Caenorhabditis elegans: one gene and its partner. The protein of the gene in region 1 purifies or fractionates together with the protein of each later gene. This does not show direct contact. Each region holds a gene or a part of one and is shown on either strand. Other genes may lie near its edges.

Region 1 (7,718 bases):
TTTTTCATCTTTTCTTCCAGTACTTTCTGTCCCTTTTTGGAGTCGCGGGAAAACTGAAAGTTTGAAAAAAATTAGTTGAAATTTTGATAAGAATGCGTAATAAACAAACCGCTGATTTCTTGCTGACAACCAAACTTCTTGTTTTCTTGTTTGTTCCAGTTGGTCTTGAGTATTTCAGAAGATATTGGTGACGTTCTTTTGGACTCAAAGAAAGCTCTAACATCAAAATTACTTGAGCTCTCTGAAAATAAAAAAATCTTAATTTAATAATGCAACAACGATTTAACCTGTCGTTTATACTCCAGTTGTGTCTGGAAGATTGTTTCATATGTACGTGTCATCATGGCAATAAGCATATTAAACTGCATAATACTTACGAACAATTCGAAAAGAATGAATACAACCTGAAATCAATAAAATTATAGAAACGTGGTAATGGGAACTGAAATTTTACGTGGTAAAATTTCAGTGGAGTAATGGGAAGTATGTTTGATATATCCTCTACGGATTTAAGTTACCCAAATACCTTATTCAAATTTTTAAAAAGTCACAACTTCTGAAATACTGTCAAAAGTAGCTAGCATTTGTAAAACCCGGCTCAATTCTAAGATATATTCTAAAACAAACACTAGCAGCATTTAACTGGACCCCAATTTTGAGTTTTGAATCAAATTTCTCATGCACAAAGTTAACATTAATCTGAGCTGGCAACAACGATTTAAGTGTAGAAAGGTTAACTTTCCAAAATTTGGAATTTTTGTATAGGAAAATTTTACCAAATCGGATTTTTATTTTTGTTCAAAAAAAAGTTGCATTTGCCAAAAACTCAATTATTTTTACACTTACTTTTCCAATCCAAACCATCGTATTGGCGGGACAAAGAGCAAGGTTACGGTAAAGTACTGTAAACTCTCCAATTGTTAGAATAAATGTACGAACGAAAGCTTCAATGGGTGATTGCATTACATTCTCAAAGACTTCTGCGTTTTTCACAATCTGAAAAATTCGAAATAAAAGTGAAATATATAAAAATATAACTCATTAATTAACAAAGTTTCAAAGAATGATCTCACCGCGGTGTCATATGCACTGATTTGTCTTGTTAAATTAAATTTATTGTCCGAACCTTCCGATGCTTCTGATTGATCAGTGATCAGTTTTTTGATAACATTGGCTTCCCGTTCACAAGACAAAAAAATCAATGAAAAAGATTGGGAAAATCCCATCAAGAATATTCCGTAAATGAGCATAAACCGGAAAATGTCAGTGGCAATAATTGTATAAACCATCAAAACGAATGGTCCCACAAATCGAATAACACGACAATAATAGAGATAGTGTACAGTTGTAAAGATCATGGTAACTGTGATGAGAACGTTGTCAACAACCAAAAGTACCGGACTTAAATCACATGCCAGACGAGTTGGAATCATTGCGAGAACCAGAAAATATGTTAATTTGAACGTGATTTTAGCAGGGAAAGCAGTCTGGAAATTAGTGAATTGTATTTTTAGAAATACAGAAAATTGTAGTTTTATTTTCTGCCAGTCAGCTTACCAACACATTCCACCACTTTTTTCTTCCAATTCTCTTAATATCACGGAAATCAAGAAACACTTGAACACAAATTCCAATTACAACAAATAATTCAAAAACAAGACGGATCTGAAAAAGAAAATATGTGCCTACAGTATTTTGGAAAAACTAACGTATGAATTGGCAAATGGAATATCTGGATCCCAGTAGTTACGAAGATGACATTGGCTCAAAGGTTCCGCTGTAATTTGTTAATGATATTATATCGAATACAATGTGATTTCCCTATTAGTGCTGCATGTCATTGTTCAATCGATAATCGAAATATAGATTGTAAATTTTATTTTCGATCAATCAGCTTCCGTAAAAAATTATCGGTTCTAATCTTTTATCTTTTGGAAACTTATGTGGAAATTCAACATTTTATATGAAATATTGAGTACAAAGAAGGTAAGCTTGCTCGAGAATTGGTCGCAATACTTCTAACTCAATTTTAGCAATATAAATTAATTTCTTAAGCAACGTTCGCCAAATTCTGCACCAGTTTTAGCAAAGTTTATGTCGAATTGGGAAAAAATCAATTTTCAATATTGCTAAAATATTCGGGGTAGTGGTGATAGAGTACTTACACCATTCAACCAATCCACGCGATGTTGCATTAATCACTGGTTTAACTTGTTGAAGAGTTGAGTTTTTTCCGTATCTTCCCGGAAATGGTTCCGAATATCGATTGATCCATCCTTCAGTTAACATTTCCGTTGAAAATCCAATTGGCCTCAATGTGAATGCAGTTACAAAACATATGTAGTACAATGTGAAGGCAGTGAATGACACAATCATACTGAAATTCAGATTATTAAGAAAATAATAAAACCGTACTTCCTAGTTGAGACGCTAAGTCAGTTCTAAATAAAACTTTCTAAAAGTTTTTAAATAATAGTTTGAAACAGTGTTTCACAATTAGTAATGATTGGGTAAAATAATAAGTTTAATTAATTTTATAAAAAATTACACGCTAATTACCAATTTACTTACTTTCTTTTGGCAAATGCTTCCCATTTCGCTTCCAGCAATGTATCCAATAGGCCATCCAAAAGTTCAAGATGCTCAACAGTTTGCTGAAAATGCTAAGTTTAACGGCTCCCAGTAAAATCGCCGCTTACCCCATAAACCACAAGTGAAAGTGCAGAAGCTTCATTCAATTCTCCAGTTGTTTCATTGATTGTATCGATCTTTGCCAGTGGGTAAGCTGTTGATGAAGCATCACCATAAGCCCATACACTGTCTCCTTCCAATTCTAATATCTCGTCGAACATTTCCTTTTTTGCCAATTTCGCCGCAAGTGTTAACGGAGAAAGACTTTGTTTGTTAACAGTACGAAGACTTGCTCCACATTCTAATGCTAGCTTGAACATTGCCATATTTTCATGAATGACACACATATGGAGAACAGAGTTTCCATTTGTATCTTGAGCATTTGGATTTGCCTTGAAAGCAAGAAGAAGGCGAAATGATTCAGGTTGATTCAAACAGGCAGCAAATGACAATGGATATTCTCCAAGATACATGTTTCTGAATTTAGATTTACATAGAAAGCATGTGAAAGCATACAACCAACTAAACAAAAATAAATTGACCTACCCTGTATAATTAGTTTTCAATGAAAGTTCAACATATTCATGTTCTAATGAATCAGTTCTTGATGCTTTTTGATCATCAGCACAGAAAAATGCTCCATAACATCTTGAATTAACATCGGCTCCCAATTTCAAAAACTTGTAAACGAGTTTACAATCCGTATTAATAATTGCTTGATGAAGAGGTGATAATCCGTAAAAATCTTCGGAAATGTGAATATCATTCAACAATTTTGGATAATAATCAAGAATCTTCAAGACAAGAGCATTATGAATATCCGATGCATGAAGAAGACAACATCCAATAATTGTTTCTCCCATTGATCCACGTTCTTCCAATTTCCATGAAATTTCTCGATACTTACTTTCATTCCGCCCGCCTTTTCCACCTCCGTCCAGAAGTTTTAGTGCTTTTTTCAAATCTCCCACATTTTCTCCTTCCTGATTGAAATCGTCTAATACATTTGGCCCACTTTTTCCTTTTCCTTTCTTTCGTGAGAATGCTCCAAGTCGTTCATTTCTTTCCTAAACAAAATTATTTTGGATTTTTCCAATAAGTGACGTAACCCATTATAAAATTTTCATCCAATATCAAAACATGTCAAACACAACATTACAAAAAAAAAATTGAGAAACTTCTTTCGTTTTCAAGATTTCCTTTTGAGAACCTTATGTCCTTAAACTTAGATTTGGTTCCTTGAAAGAGGTAAGCTTTCGGAGCCAAAATTCTGAAAGCTAAATTCTAAGTTTTTGGGCGTAATACAAAATGTACCTTGTTCGTGGATTGTTGACAATTTATGTTTAATAAGTATCTGGAAACATTTTCAGGCAAATCCTACTTTTCCTGAAATTTCAGTTGAAACAGTTGTTTGTTTATTTAATCTAAATTTAAATTTAGCGGTTATTTTGTGTTTTGAGATCAATCGTATTACTATTAATAAGTACCACTGTACAGGAAAATTGGGGGTTTTTAAATCACAATATACATTCACCCCAGGGGTGTGCGGCAAAACTCAAAATTTGCCGAGCTCGGCAAATTCGGCAAATTTCTTTTTTCAATATTTGCCGAGCACGGCAAATTCGGCAATTTTGCCGCGCTCGGCAAATTCGGCAAATTTGCCGTGCCTAACAAACTCCGAAAAATTGGATACTATTTCATGCTTTTTGGAGCACCAAAACTACTGAAATCTGAACAAACATCTGGTTTCTGAATAAGTTCTGTGTAGTGTGTCTGTTTAAGCATCAAAATAACTCAATTTTGTGTGATTTCACTAAATTTTTGGCGAAGAATTCAATAGTTTTGGTCAGAATTGTACAGTCATATTTTTGATGTGTGCGGCAAATTTCAAAATTTGCCGAGCTCGGCAAATTCGGCAAATCTACTTTTTTCTAAACTTGCCGAGCTCGGCAAACGGCAAATTCGGCAAATTCGGCAAATTTGCCGCACACCCCTGATTCACCCTTAAGGGAAGGCCTTACATCGTTATTTTCACTTCTAGTCACTTGCAGAAATTAATCAAAATTTTGAAAACCCCTGATTGTGAGGTGGTTAAAATGTAAAAGTTGTTCAAGTAGAGAATCATGTATATGTTTTTAAATGATCACATATTACAAAAACTTTTTTTTTCAGATTACCTTATTCCGCAATTTGACCAACTCAGTAACTGTCACGAGCTTTCCTTTTCCACCATTATACAAGAAATCTTTGACTTTTGTTTCCAAATAAGCGTCGATAAATGAAGTATCACTACTTATAATGGCATATCTGAAAATGGAAATTTTCGCAAAAAAAAAACAGGTGATTTTTGTGAGAATTCGATGCATGTCATCGAGTACATAGACATTTCTTAGAATTTTCAGAACCAAAGGGCTCCAAAAAGATCCCTTTTTTAAAAAACATCACCATCATTTGCCGTTCCTTGTGACAAAACATGTCAAAAAGGAAACCAGGAAAGTAATAAAATGTTCACAAAAACGATTATACGAACCTATAATTTTCATGTCTTTTCGTTTTAGTTCCGTCATTCAATTTTCAATTTTAAATGGATTTGTGGAATTATTAAAAACAGAAATTTGGTAAGAAAAAATTTCAATCGAACATTGAAATGATTGCACTTCACAAAAAGAAATAATTATTAGTTTTGGAAAATTAACAAACTTTTATGAAACTATTCATTAATTTTTTCAATGTTGATACTGTCAGAATATTTCTATTAAAGCTTTGAACTGATATAGTAACACTTATAAAATATTTAAAACATACCTAATCTTTCAAAAAGTTTGAAATTCTGACAAGAAATTTATTGATATTTTTCATTCTGTTTATCAGGCAAAGCAGTTGCCAAAATTTAATTTGTATTACATGGAATGACGCATTTCGTAATACAATTCATGGAAACTCAATGGGGTTTCGTTTTTATATTTTACTTTTAATCAGAAGATAAAGTAACATTTGTTTGAGTTTTCGGCATATTTGAAGCAAAAAGAAAGGGTAAATGGAATGGTGGTTTTTATATAATTAGGTTCAGTTTACATTGAGTTCCAAAAAAAGCGGCAGTTTATTGATAAAGTGTCGAAACTCTAAGAAGAAATATTCAAATTTTGAACTATTGTTGTATACGTATTCATCAAGTGATTAGTTTAACGTTTTTACCTGAGCCATGGAAGAAGTTCCCCACCGCCATGCATATCTACAAGTTGATAAATCTTCATATCCTCCCTCAATCTTCCCATTCCCACAAAGTTATTCATGGAAGATTGGGTTGAAGATGAGGAACCCATCTTAATGATGTGATGTACTCTACTGATAAGATGATTAAGATATGTCTGAAAATTAAATTAAATGATAGAATTGAAAAAAAGCCAAAGTTAGAAAATTAATGATTTTGTGATATAAGTATCATTGAATTTTAAGACTTCCAGGCCAACCCAAAAATCTCAACTTTCTAGGCAATGCTTTCAATGAATGCCTTTAAGTCTGACTTGCATTCAAGGAATGCAGAAAACTGAGAGCAGGTCTGTATATAGGTAGGCAGGTAAGAGGTAGGCATCTACATGTGATAATGTGGGGCAGGGAAATGTATGTATGATCAATTTTGGTTCAATTTTGAACCAAAACTTAAACCAATATCTTTATGAATTGATATACTAAATTAATGAAAGGTTCTTAAAATATTGCCAGTTATATGAAATCTGGTTTTGATCCCAAGTTCCTGTCATCTATCTTTTAAAGCAGCTGACATTTTTGGCGACCCCAAGTTCATTTGTCTAATAACGTGATGGATTTTGAAATTGTATTTTTGTGAATGGCAAAAAAAACCAAAATCAGAATAACAAAACTGAATTTCGTGGCTCACTCTTGAGCCGGAGCTATAAGATGGATGGAGAAGGCGAAAAAATGGGCGTGGCTGTTATACTCAAGCTCACTCCTGAATCTCCATGAAGGGGAAAAGGAAAAGAGAAAGCATTGAAAGAAATAGAGAGAAGGTAGAATATGACACTGAAAGAAAATTGGTTGAACAGGCGCCTGCTTTTTGATTGAATTTTGGCGTGTCGGTCGTCGTGGTCGGTTTGTTGCCGTGGGAGATTGGATATCAGGAGGCAAAATGTGAAAAGAGTTTGTACAAGAAACTTCTGAAAACTTGATAGATCTTAAAAGAGTGATTTTATGGGGAGAAAGAATGAATTAAACATGTGAAGATAGTTTTAGATTTTCAAACAATCGATATTGAAACATTTTGTACCATCTTTGTATATTTATGACAAGAACAATTCGGAACTATCAAAATTAATACTTTCTAAATACATTACTAATAGTCCAACACATCTTGAGATCATAAATAAAAGCTCCGATTTTTTTTCGATTTTAAAAGAGCATAAATAAACAAAGATGATACAAAATGTTTCAATTTTATTTCGAATTTAAAAATTTCAGCCAAAGTTTTGGTAAATTCCCAGAATTTTATTAAAATGAGAACTTTCAAGAATTGCTGCAGATTTAAATATCTAGAAAACAAATACAACTGATTCAAACGTAATTAAAATACAAAGTTGAACCTTAAAGTATTTCAGTTTCAATTAGTGTTGCACCCTTTTATCTTTGTTACTAGAGCCACAGAAAATTAATGTTTTGAAGATTTTTTTGAAAATTATAGAATTTGAATATTATCTTGATACAAGTTTCTAATTGACAATTTTTAAAAGTGCCTACACAAAGTTTGAGCTTATGTAAGTGAAATCTTGGAACCTCAAATTCAAAAAAAAAGTAATTAATTTCGAAACCTTTTTTTAAATTTGTTTAAAAAATTCTAACTACTTGTGTTTGAACATCGTCGAGGTTTAAACTTGCAACAATGATCGGAATTACTCAAAAAGACCAAATTGTTTTGATAGTTTGCCAATTTTCCAAACATTTTACTGAATTGAAACAAAAATTCTTTTTTAAACTTTCCGAGTGTTGATTTATTATATTTGATCATGTTCAAGTATTATAAGTGCAGTTATATAAAGTCTCCACTAGCTCTACTCCATTTTTAATCTGAAAAT
Region 2 (4,036 bases), on another chromosome or scaffold:
GTATTCCTAAATTTTAGAGAACTATGAATTGAAAATCATGACATGAAAACGTACAATTTCCATTCCTTGTTCAAATGGGTTTCCAACAAGATTATGCATTGGCATTGACATAACCATAGGCATTCCCATACCCATTCCCATACCCATTCCAACCTGTAAGACTATAAACTTTCAGAAATATCCTTTCATCGAACGTTGTGAAAATTGTCTAACAAATTTTTCTGAAAGATAATAACATTCTTGACAAAGATAGTTTCTCAGATAAATCAGATTCTAAAAAAGTTGTTGAAATTCAAACCAGTTACTGGACTCACTGGAATTTGTTGAAATATTTGGCAGTGACAGATGTGAAGAAATATAAAGTAAATCTGAAGATATGTGTACGTATTCATTGTTTGACACTTGAAAGTGACATTCCAAAAAGGTGGTAATTGGGAAAATGACTCAAGTTTTAATGTAGGTCATCCGGAAGGAAATAAAATGAGAATAAAAAATTTGAAGAATCTTTTATTTGTAGACTTGAAAAAACGGGTCAGTAAGATTCAGGATTATTGCGAATGATAAACCCATTCAAGCTGATTTTACCGAGATCCTCCACATTCACCAAATGATGACGAATGGCATATTCGAGAACTGACATTGATAAGAAGACAAACTGCTCGGCTTTCTGAAAATATTAATTTTAATCTAGTTATAAAGAACGTATCACCATGCAGGCTGCACCACGAAGCATTCGAAGTCTAGCAATTGTATCCAGAATATCAACAAATGGAGTACCAATTTCATGAGAGGCTGTCAGACGTTGACAAAGAATATCCAAAGCAACAAGAGTGCAGCTTCTACTGAATCCATCAAAACACACCAATGTCATTGGTGTCCGTTGACTGTCGTCAAAAATCTTCTTTTCAAGTCCCTGTTTTCTGAGAATTGTTCTCATATGGTTCATATCTGCCAATAAATCCAGAATATCAGATGGTTTCTGTGGATAACCAAGTTTTCCCCATCCACTATAGGTCAGAAGAATCACTGTTTTATGAGATTCGACACCTTTCTCAGAAATCTTCAGAACAGAAGAGTAAGTTGCCGGTCGAACTTTTCGAATGTTATCCAACTCAATTGTCATATCATCAATTACCAATGGTTCTCCAATCTTTACAGGCACAAATGGTTTTCCCTTTTCATCCAGGAGCTCGCACAGTGTCACCACAATAAGAGAATTACGATCGAAAACACACCGCCAAAATTGAGCAACACTTTCAGACATAGGAGACGGGGCGACAATGAATTTTCGAGTTTCACGATATCCGTCGATCCAACTTGAGTTGAGGTAATTATGACCTGAAATGTGTAGAAGATTGGATTTAGACGGGTAGTCAGAATCTAGACATTCCGTCTTTTTAGTGTCCCTTGTGACAGCCATAAGGGGGTATTTTCATATTTATTTTGATAGACGGTGCGCGATGCAGGCGAAGGTCGCCTTAAGGTGAGGCAGGCAGGTGTTTTGGCGCCTACATGAAAGACCTAACGCTTTTTTTCTGTTTTTGAACGTCAAACATTGAAATTCACGTACTGCCACCACATCAAGGCGTGGAACTAAAATAGAGATATCGTGGAATATTCAGTTAATTTGTTAAAATTTCACTAACGACTTGACATAAATTGCGATACTAAAATAATATAATGTAGTAAATAAATGTGTAATGACGTAACGCCCCACTAGTTTTACATATTTTTATTCTGAAGTTTTTGAATTACCTTGACGATGAACGGCTCGAACACGCGTCTGCTCGTAAACTTGAATTTCTCCAAATTTATTCAATTCGGGGTGATCAAAGAAAGCGTCAACAGTGCGAAGTCGTGACAATGGAAGAGACGAGAAATGTGAAAACTCTTTTCCGACAGAGGAAGTTGAAAGAAGTTTGATAAAAATATCCAGTGGACGAGTGCAAGCGTTTTTTGTGTTCAGATCAAATAGATACTCGTTTTTTTCAAGTGTCATACTGAAAATGAATTAAGCTTAAATATTATTGAAAACCTTGAAAACTTACACATGTCCACTAGTTAGATCGGCTGCACTATTGTAAGTGTGAAGACCAATAACTGATTCAGAAGAAAGTGAACCGTCACCAACCATTTTGTTCGAAATAGATTTTTTGAATTCTGAGGTTCTTTTTATAGTGATTTTTTTCTTATTATTTCAATATCACCACGTGCTTATTTTAAAAGTGAACACTTTTATTTAATTTAAATGCATATGTTTTGTTTTTGAACTGACAATGAAAATATGAAAATACAATTTCTACAAATAAATACGATATTTCAACACCGGACAACTACAAGCTCTGAAATTAAGCAAACTTATTATGCTGTTGAGAAACAAATATGTGAATGAAAGACAAATATAGGTTAATAGATTAATGGAAGGAGGTTACCCGTGGTAGATTTTTAAAGAACATTGCAAATTGAGGGGGAGGATTAAAACTTAAAATTATTCTGATCTTAAAATGTACAGGAATGGGTTTAGTTGATCTGGACGTTTGGCTGGTACTCGGTTGATTTCTGAAAAAATTAAATGAGAAATCAGATGATTTTTCTCAAAAACACACCTTGAACAATGCATTTTCTCCATTCATCGAATGTCAATTTTCTATCCTTATTCAGATCGCAAGTTTTGAAAAGATTTCTGGAGCACTGTCTGACATTCTTCCATTCTAACAAAACTGATTTAAAAGGTTTCCATTCACTTCTTTCAAGCACATTATTATGATTTATATTGAGTTGATTAAACTTCCATCTAATTGCTGAATCTCTGCTAACTTTTGTTGCATTTATTCCACTCATTATCATTTCTGATTTGAGAGTTGATACTAATCGCCTCAGAAATCGTGTTCTCTTCTTTTCCTTACACCGATTGTTTCTTCTCACTCTTTTTGGAGCAACTGTAGTTGTTGGAGTTTCTTCACATTTTGGTTTTCCTCTTGTTGTCGATGAGCCTAACTTTGGCTCTCCGGACAGTTCGTCCACACACCAACAATAAATTGAAACATCATAGCATTGCACTTTATCATATAATCTGAAAATTGAGTAAACTTAACAAATATGTATACGAAGAAACTTACAATGAGTTTTTTGGAGAACATGTTGGAATATAAATTCTAGCATCTCCGTCAGTTTTTCTTTTTAATGCTTTTCGTCTTTGTGATGCACAATCTAGACGTATAACTTCTTCGAATCTTTGACGAACAGACAAATCATTTGAGTCAGTAATATCCAGAACTTCTAAAAAACATTAAAGTTACAATTAACAAATTTAAAATCAGAAACCTACCAAGTCCCCCTTTCTGAACAATTGGATTCCCATTAATCAAGTATATCCAAGCCAATAATTGTAAAGACAAGTGTTCGGGCCGCATGAGCGACTGAAAAATATTATATTAAAATTAAGATAACGATAAAATTGGAGAAATATGTGCAAATCTCAAAACAAAAAAAACGCTGTCCGTTGAAATGTGAAATTGAGGAGAAGACGGAGGATATAGGAGGAGTAACCAGATTAGGTTGCACTCTTCTGCAATGCGTGTGGGCTGAAGATTCAAGTGACGTGGGTGTTCTTCTGGTTTAGGAATTCACACCTAATTGAGAAGATGTCTATAGTGTTAATTTAATAACGGAAATTTCAAACAAAATGGAGAGTTTAGAACCTGAGTGTTAAGATTCGACGTCACATTTCTTTTATGTTGTATTCTGATGTAATCGAATACAATTTTCCGGTTTCGAAACAAAAGTTGACTCTTCAAATGCAAAGTCCACAGAACTTCGAATTAGAAAAGGAAGTGATTTGTGAACTTTTTCAGGAGGTTTCTTGAAATATTGTATAAAAGTTGTTAGAAATAAACTTATGAAGGTTCAACTTCTCATGGTTGTTCAAAGTCTCTATATCCCGCCCAGATATTTTTTATCCCCAATAAAATTCTCAATGATGCGTGAACAATCCAAGAAAAGGTTTGAGCTTGTTTCCGATTGTGGAATCATTTTT

The links. Proteins that work in one complex are often made in the same cells at the same time.
Region 2: the proteins of ocr-2 (region 1) and T04F3.3 fractionate together in Caenorhabditis elegans (co-fractionation; one large-scale study listed by BioGRID). This does not show direct contact.

The regions. Positions count from the first base shown.
Region 1 is NC_003282.8:8,214,083-8,221,800, forward strand, and holds the start of ocr-2 (Ion transport domain-containing protein), read right to left. Parts: upstream 6,006-7,718; 5' UTR 5,955-6,005; coding exon 5,827-5,954; intron 4,939-5,826; coding exon 4,809-4,938; intron 3,699-4,808; coding exon 3,178-3,698; intron 3,109-3,177; coding exon 2,700-3,108; intron 2,655-2,699; coding exon 2,572-2,654; intron 2,378-2,571; coding exon 2,166-2,377; intron 1,778-2,165; coding exon 1,710-1,777; intron 1,666-1,709; coding exon 1,558-1,665; intron 1,488-1,557; coding exon 1,074-1,487; intron 997-1,073; coding exon 847-996; intron 405-846; coding exon 288-404; intron 242-287; coding exon 110-241; intron 54-109; coding exon 1-53.
Region 2 is NC_003283.11:11,757,045-11,761,080, reverse strand, and holds T04F3.3 (Tyrosine-protein phosphatase domain-containing protein), read right to left. Parts: upstream 2,147-4,036; 5' UTR 2,135-2,146; coding exon 2,049-2,134; exon of another isoform or gene 2,001-2,048; coding exon 1,756-2,000; intron 1,530-1,755; exon of another isoform or gene 1,385-1,529; intron 1,339-1,384; coding exon 710-1,338; intron 668-709; coding exon 533-667; 3' UTR 501-532; downstream 1-500. Other genes in the region: T04F3.5 (uncharacterized protein), read right to left, coding at 1-6, 55-153, 315-392; smoc-1 (Thyroglobulin type-1 domain-containing protein), read right to left, coding at 2,489-2,559, 2,607-3,073, 3,120-3,279, 3,329-3,413.